Diceros bicornis minor: one gene and its partners. The protein of the gene in region 2 purifies or fractionates together with the protein of the main gene of each other region. This does not show direct contact. Links are inferred from orthologs where the notes say so. Each region holds a gene or a part of one and is shown on either strand. Other genes may lie near its edges. The genes, in order: PRR5L, RICTOR and MLST8.

What was found.
Region 1: the proteins of RICTOR (region 2) and PRR5L purify together in Homo sapiens (affinity purification with western blotting; 3 studies listed by BioGRID and IntAct, with this or other methods). This does not show direct contact. The link is inferred for Diceros bicornis minor from reciprocal best matches to the Homo sapiens genes RICTOR and PRR5L.
Region 3: the proteins of RICTOR (region 2) and MLST8 purify together in Homo sapiens (affinity purification with western blotting; 14 studies listed by BioGRID and IntAct, with this or other methods). This does not show direct contact. The link is inferred for Diceros bicornis minor from reciprocal best matches to the Homo sapiens genes RICTOR and MLST8.

What each region holds. Positions count from the first base shown.
Region 1 is NC_080770.1:32,255,240-32,262,173, forward strand, and holds the start of PRR5L (proline-rich protein 5-like), read right to left. Parts: upstream 3,004-6,934; 5' UTR 2,866-3,003; exon of another isoform or gene 2,788-2,865; intron 1-2,787. UniProt on the Homo sapiens protein: Associates with the mTORC2 complex that regulates cellular processes including survival and organization of the cytoskeleton.
Region 2 is NC_080759.1:30,472,438-30,480,412, reverse strand, and holds the start of RICTOR (rapamycin-insensitive companion of mTOR), read right to left. Parts: upstream 3,101-7,975; 5' UTR 3,096-3,100; coding exon 3,047-3,095; intron 2,876-3,046; coding exon 2,828-2,875; intron 1-2,827. UniProt on the Homo sapiens protein: Component of the mechanistic target of rapamycin complex 2 (mTORC2), which transduces signals from growth factors to pathways involved in proliferation, cytoskeletal organization, lipogenesis and anabolic output.
Region 3 is NC_080765.1:46,214,340-46,221,897, forward strand, and holds the start of MLST8 (target of rapamycin complex subunit LST8), read right to left. Parts: upstream 3,016-7,558; 5' UTR 2,933-3,015; intron 2,776-2,932; exon of another isoform or gene 2,481-2,775; 5' UTR 2,406-2,480; coding exon 2,277-2,405; intron 2,107-2,276; coding exon 2,055-2,106; intron 1,972-2,054; coding exon 1,809-1,971; intron 1,373-1,808; coding exon 1,297-1,372; intron 1,215-1,296; coding exon 1,062-1,214; intron 120-1,061; coding exon 1-119.

The DNA of each region.
Region 1 (6,934 bases), on a different chromosome or scaffold from region 2:
CAACTCTACCGAACAAGGTTCTAATGACACGTAGGGATCTTTCAGAGGGGCTTGTACTCTATTTCGCAAATCAATTCTGTATTGGTCTAGCTCTACAAAAAAAGATTTAAAGGCTGCAATTCAAGAAATATTTCGGTACATTTTACCTTGTACAAGACAATACAAAAGGAATGACAACAGGAAATATACACATGCACACCTACAAACCTTAGGATAGAGAAATAATGAAGACATACACAAAGTCCTGACTGGATTCAATTTTCTACAGATAAATGGTTTAAATGTTGCACATAGATTGTCAAGAACAAACTGCAGATTATGACATTTAGGTCTGGATTGCCAGCATGGAATTTTCAGGTAGCAGTGTAACAGATTTCTAAAGACAAGACTAGGATTTTTTTTCAATAATTGGGCCACTCTGTGATATTATGTGACATTAAAACAAAAAAAAAGAAAGAAGGCACCAAGTTAATCAACTATAAGATGAGCTCATCAACAACTGAGGGAGGAAGGGAAAGACATCTCCAGTAGAGGCTGGCACTACAAGCCTGCCTTAACAGAGCTGGAACCCATTCTCAGCTCCACCCTGTGTGTGTGTGGACAAACTAAGTTCTCTAACCCTCAGTGGGCTCAGCTATATAACGGAGATATAATAGTACCTACCTCATCAATGTTATGGTGCAGATTATATAATACTATCAAAGTCTCTTGGTGCACAGTTTAAGACATAATGAGACCTCGAGGGGTGGTTGTCCCCTCCCCTTTTTTAAAATAAAGGGCATATTTTTGTAATGTTCAAACAGACCATTATTGAAATCTCACCCGTTGAAATAAACATACATCCATGACCCTCCGGATCTGAAAGAAATAAGGTCTCCTCATTGAGAAACAAGCTAGTCCAAGCCCTTGAGAAATAAGCTGGTTAGACTAGCTTATTTCTAACGCCTATCTTTCTTTTTTGTTACACTATTAATGGTTCTAGCTGTTAGAAGCATCAATAAAATACTGAAAAGACAATAGTTGGGGTTGGAAAAACCGAAGACGACTTTGTGGACTCACCAAGCAGTTTCCCTTACTTTTTGGACTGACTAAGCATTGTTTCCCTTATCTGCTACATTCTACAGGAGATGCTCTGAGAGCACCCTCGGCCGGATTCCAGGGCTCAGTACTGCAGCCAGAGAAGACGGACAGCCAGGTCCCAGAGAGCAGCGCTGCGCCCTTCTCAGTCGGTCGTACGGGAACCTCACCAGGGCTAAATTTAAAACTTGGCTAACTCAGTTTCTGCAAGCTCCATTTCCCCTCCTGACCCACTTGCTGCTTCGCGTTGTCAATAACAGTGCCTTCCACCCCGAGAGCAATTTACCAGAGCGCAGCACTATGACATTTTGCAGCAAGTAGGGCAATGAAATGTCATGACTGCAACCCACGGTGGCCAGGATCACCAACGCCAGGGCCGAAAGGGCAGTCTCCGGGTCTGGACAAGCGCGCACCCTTTGGTGGGGGAGGGGGTCAGAGGACGGAGACAATCAGGGCTGTTGGCGTCCTTGACTGCTTTGGTCCTCTGCGTGGATCACTTGAATTTGCACGTATCGTCTGGGCAACAGGTCCAGAACTCCGCCCCAGCAGGGATGCCCGGAGACTCCAGCTCAGAGCTTTTTCCATGCGAGTCCCCAGAGCAGACGTGCCGCTGAGCAGCGGCGCGTGAGCCTTCCGTCTTGTGGGGCGCATCGCAGTAATTGAAACCTTGCATACCGCAGGATTGCAGTGGCGTCTATAAATACTCATCGCCTTACTGCTGACAAACAAAACGCGGGCTCCCGGCACCGCGGGGGAAGAGGCGGCGGCATGTGACCGAGAGCAGGGGCTGGGTACAACAGGGGGAAAACCCTACTGCCAACCAGGGAGGCACCCCGGAGCCAATTCCTGCAGCACAGTTTGCAAGTACACAGCCCGGTGTGACCAGGGGCGGGCGCCCACAGGATAAGGGGCAGAGGGCTGGGAAGGGAGAGCCTGAGCCCCCGGGGCGGGGGGCCTAGAGCGCCCCCTGCGCGCAGTGAGCACGCCGTGCGCGCACAGTACGCGCGCTGGGAAGCCTCGCCAAATGGAGGGCGGGCGGGAAAGATGCAGCGGGAAGGGGATGCCGCTGGCCGGGAGAGCCGCCCGCCCGCCGGTCTCCCCAGGCTGCGCCCGGCCCGCCCCAGTCGGCGGAGCGCGCACGTCCAGCGGCGCGCGGGACAAAGCGGCTGCCTTCCCTGCCCTCCCCTCCCACGCTCCCTCCAGAAAAGAGGGGACGGCAGGAAAAGATGAGCTGTTTCGGGGCGCCGAGTCGCCCGCGCCCGAGTGGGTCAGCTTACTTTAGATTTGCCCCTCAGGCCGGGGGAGAACGAGAGACACAAACAAGCAAACTTTCTTTTACGATCTCCTGGCTCAGCCCGGGTCCCACGATCGGCGGCATCCCCCATCCCACCCACAGGGGTCCCTCGCCCACCCTAAGCCGCCGACGCGGGCTCAGCTCCCCCCCTCCCCACCACGATGGGCGCTAGTCCGGTGCTCTACGCCTGCCGGCAGCTTCCGATCGATGGGGCGATCCTCAACCATGCGGGGGTCCCCACCTGGTTGCCCCCAAATGTGACGCTTTCCCCAAGCCCCGCTTCCCTGTGCCCCGCCGCACTGTGCCTGTCGTGCCCGGCGATTTTGTTCCCAATTCTGTGCCGTTGCTGAGCCTGCGACTCTAGCCCCTCCCGGGGACTTCCCCGTCACCCCCTTGGGGTCCCGGGGCTGAGTCACCTCGAGTCGCGCACACTCGCAGCTCGCCTCCGCGCGCCCAGGAAAAAGTTTCCGGTCTTCCCGGGAAAGTTTTCTCACCGGAGAGAAACGAGCGCCCTGGATGGCTCTCGCCGCCCGCTCTGCCCAGCTCTGCCCTCTGCGGGGTCCGCTCCAGCCTCGGGTCCTCCCCGGCGGAGTCAACCAACGCGGCGGCCGCGGAGCTCCCGGGGCCGGGCTGGTGACACGTTTCCCTCCTCTCTCATCTTACGGCCTCCTCCCCCCTCCTCCCCCTCCCCCTCCTCCTCCCACTTTTCCTGTCCTGTGCTCATCGCTTTAGTTTCTCTCCAATGGCCCCCACCCTACCCCACCTCACCCCATCCCACTCCTCCCCTGCAGCAACTCTCACCCTGTTGGGGGTGGTGGGGGGAGGGGGCGCCTGCACTTACATCCAGTTCAACAATTTCAGGAAATCCAGCTCTGACTTGAAAAGCGGGGGAGGATGCAACAGGTCAAGGGAACTCTGTGCTGTGTTTCCCTCACACAGGACGGACGAGATGCCCCCTCTCCACGACGGGATCTCCCCCCTCGTCCCCCCACGACGGGAAACTCTACCAAGAAGCCAAGGGGCTGATTCTAGGACTCATTAGGGGACTAGAGCCTGGGACTTTCGTTGTTGTTTGAAGGAACAGTCCCCAGGCCAATTTCAGGAGAAGTTGTTTTAAGTGCACTAATAAAAATATAATTCCGGTGAAGTCTCTCCCTTAGATTTGCAAAACTCTTTTAAAGCTTCCAAGTTCTCTCTCCAACCGAAGGTTTAGTGAATTGGAGGGTCCTTCAAAGTTTGAAACAACAGAAAACCAACCAATCCCCAAATTAAAAACAATGTAAAATTATTTTCAAAACTTTTTTTTTTTTTTGCAGGTGTTAAGAATTTGATGCAGCTGTTTTCAGGACTCACTGGCTTGCGTAGTTTCACCCTATGGTTGAGCAGGAAACACTTTAAAAATGCTGCCGGCTCACACATCACACTTAGCCTTTGAAACCACAGTGACATTTGCTGAAGAAAAGACGTATGTGTCTTTTTATGTCAAAACTGAGAAAAAATTTGTCTTTATTTTGGTCACTGTGACCTTACAAAACCTGTGTAAGGACTGCTGGGGGGGGCAGTTAATAGAGCTCTGGGTGCCTCACTTAGATAAAGTGCCCCACTTCAGATAAAGCTAAAGTATTCTCAACACAAACCCCAGGATGATGAAGAGACACTAAGTCTCATCCCAGGAATCAAGTGCAATGAAAGGGAGGAGGTTTGAGGCCTGTGCCTGGGAAAGAAAAGCTCGAGGGGGCAGTGAGTGGGGAGGGGACTTGAGAGATGGCTTCAAGGCAACTCTGCTGAGGATTTAAGAGCCAAAGCCTGGGGCCAGTAGGTCAAGGTTTGTAGACCACCTCCTCCTCTTACTAGCTGCCCGTCTTAGCCAAGTCTGTTAACTGTGCTATGCCTCAGTTTACTCCTGTGAAATGGGGAGCAACATAGTGCTATCTAAGTGAAATAAGGCAGAGAAAGACAAATACGGTATGATTTCACTCACATATGGAAGATAAACAGAGATAAGGAGAACAGATTGGTGAGTATGAGAGCTGAAGGGTGTCGGGGGAGGGCGAAAGGGGTGAAGGGGCACATGTGTCTGGTGACAGATGGAAACTAGACTATTGATGGTGAACACGATGCAGTCTATACAGAAGCTGAAATATAATAATGTACACCTGAAGTTTACAGTGTTATAAGCCAATATGACCTCTGTAAAATAAAAACTGAATAAATATAAATTTAAAAAGTAGTAGCTATGTCTTAGGATTGTGATGAGTATTTAATGACTTCATACAGGGAAAGGGCTTAGAATCTCTGCTGGGATTCAACAGATATTAAGCTATTATTCTTACTACTATTATCCTGCAGGGCTGGGCAGTGAAAAGGGAGCTATTTCTGCACGGCTGCAGGAAGACCGATTTGGGAACATTCATTCTGCATTGCTGACTCCCTCAGCTCCTTCAAGTGTTTGTTCAATGAGGCCTAGCCTATTCGGTCTTTGTAAAATTATAACTCCCTCCTCCCTCCCAGTCCCCCTCATTCCGTTCTACTTTTTCTTTTTTGCATTGCCTCTATCACCTTGTAACATATTACATGATTTACTTTTTAAAAGAAATTTAACGTCTCTCTCCCACCACCTCCTCCTTCCAGGCTAGAACATCAGCTCTCCAAGAACGTGGATTTGTTCTGCTCACTGATACTGCCTAAGATCCTAGAACAATGCCTCGCACATAGTAGGCACCCAGTAAATATCGCAGGAATGAATCCATGAATGGGGTTGTTTAGCAAATATACGCTGTAGTGACTGCCTATGGTAGGTTGGGCACTGTGCAATAAGAAAAAAACTGAATCACCAGGCCTGTCCAAGGAGGAAAGAGGCTGCCTCTGGAAGAAGTGCACTCCCTGGTAAAGAGAAGTAGTACAGTGTAGGTGGGTGCCAGTCTAGTGGGGGTGCCATAAAAGAGAATTCAGGACTGGGAGGGAGGTGTAAAGAGGTTAACGTCTCTTCTAACCCTGAGAGTTGCCAATTTTGTAAACAGAATTTTCTTAAAATGAGAAGTAACCAACATGTTGGTGTAAATCAGAGCTTTCTCTAAGTACCATTCATACCAATATATTATACTTAACACCACCCAAACTTTTACTGAAATTATAAATGTCGGTGGAACATTGCCTTTTCTTATAATAAACAGAATTTTGTTAGGAGAAACCAATACAAATCATTCTATTTAAACACTCATTTGGAGGAGGAGGAAATTCTATGTCTTTATTAGACCGATCAGGTACACAGCTTGCCATGGCCACAGCCTCTGAAATGAAAGTTGGTTCAATCAAGACCCTTGCTGAAAGGGTAGGCCTTAGGCAGCCCCTCTAAGACCAAGGGCGGGCACCTGACCCAAATGCAGCTAATCCACAGATTTGTTCTGTGACAAATTCTGGCCCCAAAAAGTTACACTGGGCCAATCAGATTCCATTTCAGGACTGTGAACACACACACACACAACACGCACAGCTAGTATGCAGAACAAAAGCTGAAAGGTCATGACTTTATCTGAACTCTAGATTCTAGAAGCTGCAGATTGGCTGCTTGTGGACCAGCTAGATGTATATTAGATGCATATTGTTTGAACCCCATGGTGTCAACATTTTTTAAATTACTCACCAATGTGTAAAAATCAGAAAACTTCAGGCAAAAATGTGGATTTACAGCTTGCCTTGAAAAATCTGGAAGACCAGGCATTGATATGCCGCCAGCCTGCACGGCCACGATTAACTGGTGCCACGGTGTTTCTGTCTCCTGCAGACAGGGCACAGTTTCCAGTCTGCCACAGTCCCAGCCACTCCCTACTCCCTGCTCCTCTTGTTCCCAGCCTGCTTCACCCGCTCCCGCCACCCCTGATGTGGTGAGAGAAGGATGCTGGCGCGGAGTTCGAAGGGGCCGGAGCTCTGAGTAAGCAGGAATTATGCAAGAGAATGGCATGGCTTCAAACCTTTTTTTCTCTGGCAAGAGAATGCATTTTTTAAACAAAACCTTGCTTGGAATCGCAAAATGTGAACGCTCCTGAGGTAAAGGAAGATATGGGGTAGCTATGGAGGCAAGTGGACATCAAGACAGGGAGTAGGGGAGGCCTCCCTGGGGCTGCCTTGGGATCACCCACCATCCAGCTCCTGCTCTCCCAGAGGCCTCTTATTCTACTTTTCCTTTGTTCCCAGGACACTGCCTGCCCACCCCATCACCACTGCTCCTGCCTACCCCAAAAGCCTAATCACACCAAGTTCAGGAGGGGTTAGGTGACTTGCCCAAAGTTAGACACAAGCGGGAGAGGACAGGGCAGGGATCCCTGAGGCCAATTCAGTGCTCATGTACTACACTCCACTCCCTTTTGGGCTGATTAGCTGCCTCCACTTCTGAATAATAGTTAAAATCATTTCAATTTACAGAACCGTAGCATTTAATGTCTTAATAATCTGGTATACAAGAGGTGTGAAATAAATGTCTGCTGAATGTAGGTGTTCAAGGTCTGATCTCCAGTTCGGACCTCCTTCTATGATACCTCCATATCTCATACCATGTCATAAAAA
Region 2 (7,975 bases):
ATATTCAAGAACTCTACTTCAGACAGACTATACCCAATTAATAGTATGTCTCAAAAAATGAAAGCTTCAATACCATAATTCCTTATTAACAAGTTTATAATATTTAAAACAATCATTTGAAATATTTGCAATATTTGATGTAAATATTTATCACATTTGAAATGTGATATAAATAATTTTGATTTCACAGTGTAGGAAGGCAACTAACATTTATTTAACATTACTCACAAAGTAACAAGTCCTGTGCTGAGTACTTTAATTAAGCACTAGGTCATTTACTTCTCACATTCATAATAACCCTTTGAAGTTACCTCTTTTTTTGAGATGAAGAAACCAAGAAGAAAGCAAGGTCAAATAACTTGCCCCAAATCACAACCCAGAACTACTGCACTTTACAGTCTTTCTTTTCACAATACATTGATGGCTCCTTTAGGAATTACAATGACTGTGACCTCTATTTTGTAATGAACTTTGTTAAATGGCTACACAATGAATTTCTCAAAGGTTACATAAAAACAATTAGAATGAGAGCAAACACTGCATTAGTATTAAAAATATATATTTTTGGTTACCCAAATTTTATCTAAAACATACTGTAATCCAATCCACAAACAGCTGCCTTCAGCTGCAACCCAGACTGCCCCACAGTTCTCAAATTATTACTAAAGTTTAATTCCTCAGGAACTTTCTTTATGTTAGATCCATAAGCCTTCTTTTAACAATGAAATGTTTGTCAGAATAGCAATTTCTTAAACAATAGCGTCACTATATGATTAATCTAACTCAGGTTACTTTTTTTATCCTAAACTTCTCTAGGATTTAGGAATACAGTTCTCACATAACCTCTCATTCTTAGTTGTATAGTGCTTTTGCAATCAGTTTCAATTGGCTGTGTATATTTTATTCCAAACTGAAGAACATTTTGTCAGGGTAAGAAGAAACAGCACTTACTATACTTTTGGTATTATCCTAGAAACACCTTGTTAAAGCTCAGGAAATACAGCATTTTAAATAGTATGCTTACTATCTGCATTACTTGAGTAAAATTGGAATAAACCAAAAATATCAAATTTAATTTGTACATAAGTTCTTTTACAACCCAAAATTTTTACATCAACCAGAGAAACCACTATATATAGGACCTCAGCAGTCTCAATTAAAAGCACAACTATAACTTACTTCTAGCATCACATCCAAACAGGTTTTTAAGGCATGAATTAGACTCAAGATCTAATAAATGCTCTTTTCACCTCTAAAACACATATGCTCAGAGATAAATTAAATCACTAATAAACTACATCCCTTACAGAACTCAATGCTAATTTTGAGCCCTGTGGGAATTTTGCTTACTTTGTTAGGAAATTTACTAGAAAATCTTTTCCCATATATTTTACACAGATTTTTCATATCTGTTATATCTAGTCAAGTTTCTGAGCTTACACAAGTCAAAAGCTTTACATCTTTCTATACTAATATTCAAACCCCATCTGCTGAAAAAAATGTTCCAATTTAGTGCGTTAGTGATCTATTTAGTTGCCATTTCTATTACTTAAGCCCTATTATGTTTTAGAAACTCTTCTGCCTGTAAAAGGAGCCAGTTCACTCAAAACTAAGTCCCTGAACTTTCAGAACATACTGTTACAAAATGTACTCTCGTAGCTAAATGAAAACTAGCCTTTTAGTTTATAAAAACAGTAATCTTACATTATGATATACAAAATAAAACAAATTACAGAATGCACTATGCTCTAAACACAGAGATGAGCCTCTCAACAAGGAGCCTGCGTCTGACAAACACCATAGACAATAACTGGCAAGTGCAACACAGGTTAAAAAAATGTTTTTTCATTTTATATAGAATGTTTACAAAGACTTTTCTTAACTTCCTAAAGTGTTTTTCAGATCTCAAAAAGGAAACTGATTCTGTACGGCTGAACTAGGTTACACTCGAAGCTACAGCCTGTGTGAAATATGACTTCTTCGGAATCAGTAGACCAAATCCTGTTTACCGTGGAAGAGAAAAGCAAAACCTTGTATATAACTACTGAATCTTCAGAGAGATGTTGTCGAATGAACTCCAGGGACTGATCGAAGATACAGTGGCCAGTGGCCGAATTAAGTCTTAAAAATATAACCGGGGTTTACCCAGTTGCGAAGGTGTAAACAAACCCATCGCCACTGCAGAAGGTAAACAATGAACCTGCAGCGAGGGTGAGGGGGCGGTCTTTGCCAACTACAGTCCCAGCGGCCCGGGAAAGGGAAACCGGAGGGAAATACGGCGTAAACCAGACACTCAGCAGTATGGTTTCACTACCGAGTGATCAAGGCTGCGGGTTCCCCAGGGCGGTGGGCAAAGAGAGAAGCAGTCACGCAGGCAACAAGAACCGAGCAGGTCCGGCTTCTGCTCCGGGGGCCGGGGAGGGCAGGATGTGGTCGCTCTTCCCGCAGACATCCTCCGGCAACCTAAGTAGCAGCCTCTACCTCCCTCCGGCCGCCCCTAGGATTCGGCTGCACGAGCCCCGGGATAGGAGCAAAACGCTCCCTCGAGGGTCCAGGGAACCCAGAGGGTCGCCGAGTCCCGCTCGGTGCTCGCCGGCCCCCGCAGCCCCCAGAGGCCCGGAGCAGGGCTCGGGGTGAGAGAAGCGGGCACCGAGAAGGGGGATGGGTCCGGGGAGGCGGCCCCGGGCTTGGCTCCCGCGGGCCGGCAGGCGGGGCTCGGGCTCTGCCTCCCGCACCCCAGCCGGTCCCGAGCGGGACCCGCCCCTGCCCACGGCCCCCAGACCCCGGCTCCCCCCCGGCGCGCGCCCTCGCCGGCGCCCCGCGTTACCTCGGGTCAGATCCAGCGGGACGTTCTCCTCGCCGCTGTCATTCCGCCCTGCGCGAAACAGACACACAGCCCCAATTAGGATTCGCTCGCAGGCCAGCGGCTGCAGCCCCGGCTCCAGCCAGCGCCCCGGCTCGCTCCCCCCGCCCAGGGCCAGGGGGAGGCAAGTGCCAGGGGTGGCTGGCGCCGGGCGGTGGGGGGTGAGGGATGCAGCGGGCTTACCTCGTATTCGGAGGTTCTTCAGCGAGCGGCCGCGGCCGATCGCCGCCATATTGACGGGTTTCAGTCACAACACCGGAAACCTCGCCCAATCGCGCGAGAACCCCTTCCCCTCCCCGCGCGCCGCGCCCGCCCCCCGCGGCATCTCCCCCGCCCCTCCGCGGCGGCGGCGGCGGCGGGCGGTGCTGGCTCTGCCTGGGACTGGAGGGAGCGTTGTGCCGACCTGGGGTCTCAGTGGAGCTCGCGGTGCGGGTGCCCAACAGTCTAGGAGCCGGAGGGCGCGGCGATGTGCCCGGCCCTCTGAGAGCACGTCTGCGGGAGGGGGGCATTTCCCACGAGGGGAATCCCATTGATGCGAGTTTGCAGCGTGGAGGATGCTTCCCCTCCAGCGGCCGCGGAAACCATAGTCAAAACCGAGGCGAGCTGGAAGGGGATCGGGATGCGGCCGGCGGGCCACCTGCTGAAACCATCCTGCATGATTCTCCTGCTTGCTTTCAAGCCCTGAGATAGACAGTCTCCCTTCCTTATTCATCAATTAAAACGATTTTTATTAAAAAAACAAAAACGCTCCGCACAGTTTTAATGCAACAAATCCCTTCCTAGAGTCGCTTTGCTCCAACCAAGTTAACACGTAACAAAGTTAGTTTTCCACCGTCGCTCTGTCCCCCATACTAAGCAGCTTTGCACTTGATCTTCCAAGCCACACTGAGCCAGGAGGGATCCTCTGAGTGGAAGTGGCTGGTTGTAAGTTTTGTTTTTGACCGCCGGGCGCAGGACGGGAGAAGAGGATGTAAAAGCCCGAGCGCAGGGTGGTCGTCCCGGGCGCTGGGTGGGATTCTTCCCGCGCACGCGCGGGCGCCGGGAGGCCCAGGGAGAGGGTTTCCTCTCTGCCTGGAACCAAGGAGAGGCTGCTGTGAGGGCTGTTTTCTAGCTCCTAGAACAGTAGCTAATGTAAAAGTTGTGGATTCGTATTTTTTATACATAAGCCTAACTGTTGTTAACTGTAGAGATTTTAATTCTAGAAACTGCTATAGCTAATTAATATATGTGTAACTGGCCCTTGACCCAGCAACTTTCTCTTACTAGATTAACTGTAAAGAGAGGTTGAGCGTTTTGTCGCCTTTTATCCCTCAACTTTTGTCTTTCTATTCCATGAGACTGGAAATTCATTAACAGTGGGATCTTGCCTTAACAACCTCTCTTTTCCCAGCTCCCAGCACAAATAAGTGTTCAATAAATAATCGGATGAGTAAATCCCCTGGATTCCTTCTTTGTTCCAACGCTCTTTTTGATGTAAAAAAATTTAAAAAGCAATATTGGAGATACCAATTGCAGTCGTTAATAATAGTGAACGATTGGAAACACTTAAATGACCAAAGGTAGGGATTATGCACATTATTGCAGCCATTAAAAATGATGGTGTAGGTCTAGTATATTTATAGGAAATAATGTTCATGATATTAAATCAACCCTTTTTTGTAAACGTTTAAGATACATATCAAATTAAAAGTATACTTGAGAAAATGTTTTACATGTCTGTGTATGTAGAAAAAAGTCTGAGAAGATATACATCAAAATATTAACTAATTCTGTTCCGTTCAGTTGTAGGATTACAGGTAAGGTTTTTTGTTCTTGTTTGCTTTTAAATGTCCTATATTTAATATATATCTATGGTAAAATAAGTAAAAGTTTTAAAAAGAAAAATAAAAGCAGCATAGAGTAGCATCATTACAAAAATAAAAGAGGAACACTGCTTCCTTAGGATACTACCCTCTGTATACTCCAGGTCCTTTTCTACTGGGTCTGCAATCAGGTACCTGCTGCTGATATTGCACTTAGATTCAAGCATGCTGCTCAGAGTACTTTTTAAAAATGTCTCCTGACATTACCAGTAGTAATTTTAATAACAACAAACTTGCTTCCCTTTTTGTAGCTTTTAAGTCTCAGTGCAAATTATTTATTCTAGTTACAGCCTAAGACAAAAATCACAAAATTTGAAGTCTGGCTAGGACATTAAAAATTTTGTATTTCATCCCTCCACGTATCACATTCCCCCAGTTTAGAAAAGCAGAAATCTATCAATGGAAGTTCTACTAGAGTCTTAGAATTGTTCCAATTTTCAATCAACTCTTTCTATCCTATTTTTTAATCCTTATCTGTTCTAAATGAACTCCTTCCTAATACAATTTTCTCTTTTCATTTTCTCTTTCAGTCTTTCATGAAAGTGAATACAACTGATCCACTTGTAAATTACTTAGGGTACATGAGAGCCTGAATCTAATAGCCTTGCATCTTTATAACTGTATGTTCCTTTTTAAAGATCATTATTCAGTTACTCCATCTCTTCCCGGAGAAAAAAGTTATCTTTCTCCAGTTGTACAATGGAACTAGTTTTTCCTCTGTTACTGTGTCAGTCATTTGAGTGGCTGTGTTTTCCACATTTGTTCTTAAGGTGAATGGCATTCCTGGTAAAAAGAACAAGTTCTTAGTGTTTGCAAATGACACTCAACTAGGAAGCAGGAGTTTAGGTAAATTTTAGTAAGGAATACATTTCATAATCCTGTGTTTGGTTTTTAAACAATACATTATTGATCCTGGTCAGCTTGTTATTTGTTAAAACCCCTAAGTTATCTTCTGTACTTGCCAATAGCTAGCCATTCCTCTTTTTGAAACTTATTTTTCTTCCTTGTTTATTTTAGCCCACCCCTATGTCTTACTCATTTTGTTTATTTCTTATTACTTCTTCAATTTTCCGGGTCATTTTGATTCTAATCTGGTCATTGAGAATGTGACTTCCTCTTTTTAGTTTTCATTTCCCAACTAGGTTTCATTTGCTGTGTGAATTTCTCATAGTATTAGTCATTGATAAAAAATGTTATTGAGATTGGGTCCAGAACCACACCTCTAAGAAATGACTGTTCCATTCTGAAGATAAAATGACTTTCGTGAAGAGTCACTCTCTATGTTCTATTTTCTATCCTATTGCACACAGTAATTCTAGTTTATAAACCAAATTTTATCAGTTTCAGATACAGTGGTAATGTTAACAGAAACAAAGCCTTGCCAAAAATCTTAGTTCCCTTTATCTATCTGCCTAATTACATAGGCCATGTGAAGATAAAGCAAGTTGAAAACCACAACATTTGGTCAGTCTATTTTTTAGTAATTTCTCGTCATAGCTAAACCACACATTTAACATCTAGATAAAGGCGATTAAAATGACAGGCAATGAACTAAATGAAACAAATGTTATAATCCTACACAAGGTTGATTATGAAGATTCAGCCTTGGTTATAGCAGGAAGTAGCCTCTTAGTATTATTCCTGTAAATTTTAATCTCTATCCCAAAATCTCATGTAAATTTTATTTTTAAAAATTCTATAAGGTATAAAGGCCCTCTGTGAAAGCAGTTGTAAAAGGAAATATAGGCCTATGTTTGTAAAAGAAGAAGATACGTATATTCATAAAATAAAATCTAGAAGGGTATGCACTAAAATTTCAACAGTGATTTATCTTTGGTTGGTAGAATTTTGAGTGATTTTTACCTTTCTTTTTCTCATTTTAATTGTTCTAAAACAAATTTTTACTCGTGCAAATTTTTTTTTAAAAAAACGTTTGAGAGAAATTGTGTTGGCTATCCTAAACCGCAATGATAAACACTGGATTATAATAATTTGTTGTGCAGTGGACCTCTCAAAATTATTTGTGCATCTCATCATCAAAAAAAATAGCATTTGTGTGCATACTCCAATCATGTGCATTTACTTTTTTGTTAAATAGAACATAAAAGTGAAATAACAATGGTTCAAAGTAATGGAAAATAATTTTTAGTGTTACTTTACTAATGGCGCAAATCAAAACAACGGGGCTGAATACACTTCATTATTTTTTAAATTTCCTGTTGAATACTTTGTGATCCAGCAATTCAGAAGTCCACTTCTGAGAAGAGTTTATTTGAATGCTGGGTTTTAGTAACTGAAACCTCACAAAACACAAAGTTAAAAATGGAAGAACTACTCTAGTGGCTGCAGTGTCTAAATCGATCAAGAACACTCGTTTTTACATTCCACCCATCAGTTATACAAAGGTTTTTTATGTAATTTGGCTGATAAATGTCCATCTTCCCTAATGTCAATCCATTGTCCTAACAAACTGGAAGGTGTAACATTTAGAAATTGTTAACAAATCGTTTCAAAACTCTTCATCGGAAAGATTTTAAGCAGGTTAGAAAACTCTGTTTCCCTGATTTTTAAGTGTATAGATATAAAAATTTATAGAGGTGACACATTTATATTTTTAATTGTTTTCAGGAAAACAAACAGAACTCTGCAAATGTTTCCAAATATCTATTTTCTAAATGCTCTCTTCCTAAGCACAAATGTCTTTTGCAAAGTAGTAACTTTCTTAGTTATTGTTATTACATTCACCTCGAAAGGAAAGGTTAGATTTAATATCTTTTTAAATACCTGATAGATAACATGCTACTAGAAGCCACCAGTCATCGTGAAAAACACTTTGCCACTAAATACATATCAAACATCTGTATGGTACAAAAGATTTTTTCATAGTCACTCTCATTCTCATTTGAAGTGTGTGAAAATTAAACTGTATTTTAAAGTTCTTTATTATAGAAAATTATCACGAGTAGTACTATATTCTTATGTGAATCTCTTAAATTTTTATAGCAACTACTTCATCAATTTTTCACAAAACATTGCTTTTATTAAGGAAGTCGTTTACTGATAAGGATACTTGTTCTTTGGTACATCCTTACTTTGGTGGCGCAGAAAAAGAGTAGTTATTTGTATATTTCATTATGAAAAGAATTTAGCAAACACCACAAACTAAGACAAGTGTAGGTGCATTTATGCTTCCATCCAACTGCACAGCAAAGCTTTCCTAATGCCTATTTGTTCAAATACCTTTTTCTTT
Region 3 (7,558 bases), on a different chromosome or scaffold from region 2:
TCAGGGCTGAAGCGGCACTGCAGGGCATAGCGAGTGTGCGCTGGGATCTTGGTCTTGGGGATGAGCTGTGTCACCTCATCACCAATGCCCCCGGTCAGATTCCAGACATAGCAATTCCCCTGCGAGGTAGAAAGGAAGTTATGGGAGGCCTGGAGCCTCCAGCCTGACACATAGGGAAGGATGTCCTAGCAGCTAGATGCAGATCCAGGGGCTGCCATCCAATACTGTGGCTGTGCACAAGGATCTGGGGGCTAGGGACATGTGGCAGGCACATCTGGTCCTGCCTGCAGGGAGCACCTGGGAGGCCTGGCCCAACCAAGAGCCATACCTGGAGGGCCAAGAACAGGAGGCCACACTTGGCCTTCCTGGAAGATGCTGCTGGCCAAAGGGAATGTGAGGACCGAGGTGGGAGGAGGCACCCCAGAGAGAGAGACCAGGAGGGCAAAGGCTCAGAGGAGGGCAGTCTAGGGACATTGTGGGACAAGTGACTCGCTGAGATTTAATGGACGTTAAAGGGAGAAAATGAGGCTGGGTAGGAGATCAGTGGCCAAACTGCAGCATCCTGAGGCCATGGTAAAGAGCCAGGGGCACAGTGGGTGTATGCAGGGGGACAGTGCAATCAGGCTGGTACTGCTGAAGGATGCTCTGGCGGCACAGGGAGAATGGATCGGGGGCAAAGGGGAGGTCTGAAAGGAGGGAGGGGGGTTAGAGAGAAGCTGCAGCTGCTGTCGGGGGAGACAAGGGAAACCCGGACCAGGAGGCAACAGGGAGGAAGGAGGGAAGTGGACAGACTTGAGAGATTCTGGAGATGGAAGTGACCAGCCTGCTGGATGCGCTACGGCAGGTAGTGAGAGGCGGCGTCAGGAGCAACACCCAGGTTTCTGGCTTTGGTGGTTGGGTTGGAGCTGGAGCCCAGGAGAGGGAAGCAGGACTGGGAGGGGAAGGGGGAGGAGGGGTCTGAAGGACATCTGGGGAGTAAGCCCACCTGCAGGGAATAAGGGAGATCAGGGGCTGGGTGCTGCTAAGCTGGCCTCCCCCACTGCACCCACCCCAGGACTCACAGCGCTATTGACTGCTGCCATGTAGCTGGCGTCAGGGTCGATGTGGGCAGATGTGATGGAGACCTCGGGCTCGGGGATCAGCTGCTCGTTGTGGTCAGTCTTCAAGTCCCAGATGTGGATGGCGCCGCTCTGGTCCCCCACAATGAGTTCTGCCTGGGGTGCAGGGGAGGTGAGGTGGGGCAGAACCCCTGCCCTCCAGAACCCCAGGGTGCCCAGCCCTGTGCACAGCCCTCACCTGGTTGGGATGCAGGCACACGCAGTTAATGGGCGCATTCACCTGGAAGATCCGCTGACACTGCAGGTTCCGGGATCTTCGGGTGGGGGATATACACCTTCTGTTGGTGCCCCACCCAGATGCCCTTTCCTTGGCCATTTATCCTTGTTCCTCTGCTGATGGGAGCTGCCTCAGAGGAAATATCTGGGAGGTTCGGCCCTCCCCAGGGGCAGCCTGAAGCCAGTGACTGGCTCAGAAGGGGCATAAAGGCCAGCCCCTTGCCTCAAGGTGGGACTCACTCTCGGATACAATTCACTCGCCAGAGCTCCCTGTGGGATCAAGCTGAGGCTGGACTCGCCTTTGTGTGGCTTCACCACACAAAGCCCTATCCTGATTTCCTCAATAAATCACCCACACAGAAAACCCCATCTCAGCCTCTGCCTAGAGGGGACCTACCTAACACAGTCTCCTTCCCGGCCTGGCCCTCATGACCATACCAAGGCAGCAGGCCCTCCCTGCCCAGCACCCCACACCTGAGGTCCCAGATCCGGGCGGTGCAGTCCTCTCCACCCGTGTACATCCAGCGGCCATCCTCATGGAAGCCCACAGATGCGATATTCTTGTTAACCCCATCATAGCTGATGATGGGGTTGGGGTTATTGGAGTTGAGATCATACATGCGAATGTGCTGGTAACCTAGGGGCACAGGTCAAACTGAAGTTGGGCTGTGCCTAGATCCACCACCAGAGATCAGGGGTTGGGGTCGAGGGCACAGGTACCTGCAGCAGCAATCATGCTGCGGTCAGGCGTGATCTCGAGCGCGTTCACCTGCTGGGTCTGTCAAGGAGGGTAACGAACAGAGTCCTGGGGCCAAGGCCCTCGAGGCCTCCAACATCGGGCTCAGCTGCTGCATCCTTCCCACCTCAGGCCTTTGCCCAGGCTGTTATCCGCACCACGCGTCCTGCCCAGCACCACCCTTCCCACCCCCTAGTGGAGGATACGGAGTCCTGGTGCTGCACTGTACGGGTGCAGATCCCGCTGTGGGCCTGCCAGAACCGCACCGTGTGGTCATAGCCCGCTGTGGCCAAGATGACCGGGTCACTGCCCACCGTGCCTGGGGATGTGTTCATGGTGCGACTGCTTGGAAAACCCGGGCCTGCACAGGGCCCGAGATATGACCTACAAGGGGTGAGAGGTCAGAGCATCTGGAGGAGAGAGGCGTGCAGTATTTAGGGAATATCCTCTATATCCTAAGTAGATTACAGGTCCACTAGATGCTGAGGGATAGGTATTATCACTCTCATTTTAGATGAGGAAACTGAGGTTCAGAGAAGTTTAGGGACGCGTGACAACCGGCGAGGGACAGCTCCGAGCTCCAAGGCGCATGCTCCGTTCCCCGCCCCACGGACCGGGCCGGGAGCCACCCCACCCGCGGCCGGCAGGGGGCAGTCACGCCCGGGGCGCCGCTCTGCCGCAGGGGCGGGCCGCGCGTGCGCAGGGCGGCGGACGGGCCCGAGAGGCAAGCAGAGCGGTGCGGTTGCGCATGCGTAGCAGGCCAGCGGCTGGACTTGATGGGAGGGGGCGTTCTCTGGCTGGACCCTCGAGCTCCCTGGTGTTCCGCCGACCGCCCTGGCTCCGTCCCGCTGGGCCAGCTTACCCCGGGCGCGGTCTTCCGGCCACCGGCAGCCGCTTTCCGGCCCTCGTCCCGCGGCCTCCGTACCTTACATGCGGCTCCACACTCCGCCGCGGTCCAGGACGGCGAGAGGAGCCGGAGCGAATCGATAGAGGCCGAGGCCGAGCGTAGAGTTATCGATGGGACATTAGGGCGACACCACGCGGCGTAGGGGGGTGAGTGGGACGAGACCAAAGTTCTGGGGCAGGGGGCCCCTCTCGCCCTGGAAGAACCAGTAGAGGCCTGCGGGGTGCCTGGCGGCCCCAGCCTTCTCCCCATTCAGGCACCCCACCTTTCTGACACGGCTACCCATTTCCAGACTTGGATCCCGAGACGGGGTGGCGCCATCCCCTCCCTTCCCTCAGTCCCCTACTCCCCACGCCAGGCTAGGATTCCCAGGTAAATTACAGATAATTTAACTAGGTTAAATAGCAGGTAAACTTCAGATAAGTAATAATTTTTTTTGTTTGTTTAAGCATATCCCGAATATTGCATGGGATATACTTACACTAACAAGTTATTTGTTGCCTACACGAAAATCAAATGTAACTAGACTTCCTGTGGTTTTATTTGCTAGATCAGGCAACCCTAGTTCGGGCTCTCTTTTCAAGCCTGTCCAGCCCTGGCCGGCCTGACCCTCGGGTCCCCCCACTCAGCTCAGTGACCCCTCCAAAATTGGGGTCCCTCATACCCCCTTATCCATTCCAGCCTTCCCACACACCACACGCATGGCCTCACCCTCTTTCACAGGACAATAGAGTCCTTGAGACAGGCTCTCCCGCGGTGTCCTTGCACCGTGGAATGTAGCTGCACACCCCCCTTCCTTCCTCTGGCCCGTGGACCAAGGCCATGTCCCCCGCCCATCCCTCCGGGCCCTGGGTCCCAGGAACCTTCTTTCCTGTACCTTTCCCACCTCCCCTCCTTCCTTCACCTCAGCCTTTAAACACCGTAAAACAACCCAAAACTCCTTCCAGCAGGCACTCTCTCCTTCAAAGAGCCATCCTCACTGCCTTGCTGGCTCCATGTCCTCACTTCCCACTCACTCCTCTACCCGCTGTCGTGTCTTTGACCCCAGCTCTCCAATGAAAATGTCACAAGATCACTGGCCATCTCACACTGCCAAACTCAGTGGATACTTTTCCTTCTGCATCTTGACACGTCTGCCCAGTGTTTGACAGCTCTGCTCCTGAAAAGCTGCCATCACCTAGCTTCTCGCACTGGCACTCGGTCTCTGTCTCTGCCTCCCCCTAAAGGCTAGTGCCCTCCAGAGTTCTTGTCTCTGCACTGCCACACTGTCCCCGGGAGCTCTAGTTCACTCTCCAGGGCTTCCAATACCATGCCTGCCCCAGGCCTTTCCATCCTGTGTCCAGCTCAGATCCAGCTCCCTGTTAGACATTCTCCCTCGAAGGCCCCACGGACACTTCCACTTTCCGTGGATTTATCATAGACCAAAGGGCTTCCCCTTCTTCTTCTTCTTTTTTTTTTTTTTGTGAGGAAGATTAGCCCTGAGCTAACTTCCATGCCAATCCTCCTCCTTTTGCTGAGGAAGATCAGCCCTGGGCTAACATCCGTGCTCATCTTCCTCTACTTTATATGGGACACTGCCATAGCATGGCTTGACAAGCGGTGTGTCGGTCTGCACCCGGGATCCGAACCTGCGAACCCTGGGCCGCCAAAGTGGAGCGCATAAACTTAACTGCTGCGCCAGCAGGCCGGCCCCTGGGGCTTTCTCTTCTGCGTGTCAGTGCCCACCGTGTGTTACAGCTAGCTGTGACCCCTCTCCCATGACAGCCTCCTGACCTCCCTCCCCACACCCACTTTGGCCCCACTCCAGGCTGTCCTTCACATTGCAGAGTGGTCTTTTAAAAACCTAAGTCTGACCCCTGTTAGAAGCCTTCAGGGGTCCCCTCTCACTTTCCAGACTCCTGGGCCTGGCACCTGCTGACCCTGCGACTTTCTCTTTCTGCTCTATAGGCCATGTGCTGCATCCGGCCCGAGTGGACAACAGCCTCAGAATTCGCCACCACACACTCCCCTTTGAACCCTTGCCTGCTCCTAGGATGCTTTCCCTTCTGCCTCTTTATCTGATGAACTCTTGGTTTTCAAAACTTTTCATAGCATTTTGAGGGCTTATTCTGTGTGAGGTGTTATGCTGATATTTTTGTTTTAATTGTTGAGGTGAGATTCACATAATATGAAATTAACCTTTTTAAAGTAAACAATTCAGTGGCACTTAGTACCTTCACAATATTGTGCAACCACCACCTCTATCTAGTTCCAGAAGTTTTCATCACCCCAAAAGGAAACCCCGTACTCATTATGCAGTTACTTTCCACCCCTGCTCCCCTCTCAAGACCCCAGCCCCTGGCAACCACCAATCTGCTTTCTGTCTCTGTGGATTTGCCTGTTCTGGATATTTCATATAAATGGAATCATACGATATATGGTCTTTGTGTCTGGCTTCTTTCACTAAGCATAAATGTTTTCGACGTTCTTCCAGGTTGTAACATATCTCAGTACTTCATTCCTTTTTATGGCTGAATAGTATCCCATTGTGTGAATGGACCACATTTTGTTTATCCATTCATTAGCTGATGGACACTTGAGTTGTTTCCACTTTTTAGCTATCACAATAATGCTGCTGTAAAAATTCCTATACAAGTATCTTTTTGAGTACATGTTTTCATTTCTCTGTATACTAAGAGTGGAATTTCTGGGTCACATGGTAACTCTATGTTTAACTTTTTGAGGAACCGCCAAACCGTGCTGAGCATTGTACCTACATTATGCATCTGGTCTTTACAATGGCTCTGCCGAGGAAAAACCACCCCCATTTTGGAGACGAGAAAGCTGAGGCTCAGAAATCTAGAGTCGTGTGTCCAAGGGCACACAGCTGGAACACGACAGGACCCATCCTGCTGGGCTCAGCTCTCCCCTGATCTCACCCTTTCTGGCTGAGGTGACAACTCCCTGGGCAGCCCCAAACCTCGTATCTCCTCCCTGTCTTCCTCTCTAAAATTCCCCAGAGCAGCTCCGCCAGGCTCAGGGCAGCTCTGGGAGTGGCAAATGAAGACATGGGCTTGGAAGGCTGGGAGGAAAGAGCCCTGTGAACCTAGCACCTGAAGGATGTCTGGAGCAGGATAACCTGCCAAAGACCCTGCGAGCAGGAGAGAGGGGTGGGGCCGGGAAGGCTGGAAGACTTGGCCACATGTCTGTGGGGTCCCACCTGTGACCCAGGGAACAGGCCTTGAACTGTTTGCCTTTTCTGTAGGGGGCTCTAGGTGGAGCCTGGGGGCTACTCACGTCCCATGCCTAAGGGTAACTAGCAGGCGGGACCAGGCTCCCCACCCAGCTTGGGCAGCTCCAGCATCATCTCTGCTGGGCAGGAAGTGGGGAACAGGACGCATGGTTGTTGATCCCCTCTTATGTGCCAAGCACCAGCTGAGCGCTTTAGAGAGGTGGTCCCTATGAGAATGAGAGAAACCATGGCAGCTAACATATGCCGCGTGCTCCCAGCAGCCCATGGGGGGGTATGTTTGTCATTCCCTTTTCATACATAAGGGGCCAGGCACCACGGCTGGGGGGGGGGGGCGCTGGAGGGGCACCAGGAACGCCTGAGCAGGCGCACAGCTGGTGGGAAGGAGCTGTGCTGCTGGTGGAGGCTGCCATGCAGCTGGGAAGGGGGCCAGCCAAGTTGCAGTGAAGCGACCGCCAGCTCTACTCCAGGCTGAGCCTCAGCAATTCTGCTGCCTCAGCGGCCCCTCCTCCTGGGATCGTCCTCGGAGTCCTGGCTTCCTGGAGGGCTGCCCAAGTCCCACACTTCTGCATCCTCATCCCCTAGTGGCCTGCTGTGCCGCCCCCATCCCCAGGCTGGGGGAACCCAAGGCAGACTCACATCTCTGTTTTCATGTATACCCTCCCGTCAGCCCTATACCGCAGGCAGAGCTGCTGGCCCATTTTACAGATGAGGCAGCTGGGTGTTGGGAGCTTGTCCGAGGTTGCTGGGATGGTCAGTAGCAGATCTAGGACTTCCTGACCCCTCTTTGGGCAGTAGCCTCACCTAGCAGGGTGAATCCAGCAGAATCTGTACAACTCTCTTCCCAGATCTGTCCTCCTGAAGTCTGAGAGTGACTAAGGGGTGCCTGTTTGTGGGGTATAGGTGGAGCTGGAGCTGGGCAGAGAATGGAGGTGGGGTGGCTGCAGGCAGGGGCCAGTTCATTACCCAGAGGAATCCGAGAATTCTCAGTTAGAACTTGGCCTTTCAGGTCATGATGAAGGTACATTTGTCAAGGTAGGAGGATAGAACATATTTTATTTAACAGATTATTAGGCTGATTTATAACGTTTAAATATTTAGACTTTTGGAGTCTGGGCCTCTGTTTGTACCTTTGCCCCAAATCCTGCAATTCGGCTCAGGCCAGAGTGGTTTGCCTTAGCCAGCCAAAACATAAAAATAATGCTAAGGGTGAGAGCTATCTTTTTATTTTTATTTTTTGTAGTGCTTCCTGTGTGCCAGGCACACTGCTGGGCTCTGCAGATGCAAAGATGAATAAAATAGTCAGTACGCAGACAGGCCAGGTAGGGAGACCCAAGAATACCCCAAGACCCACA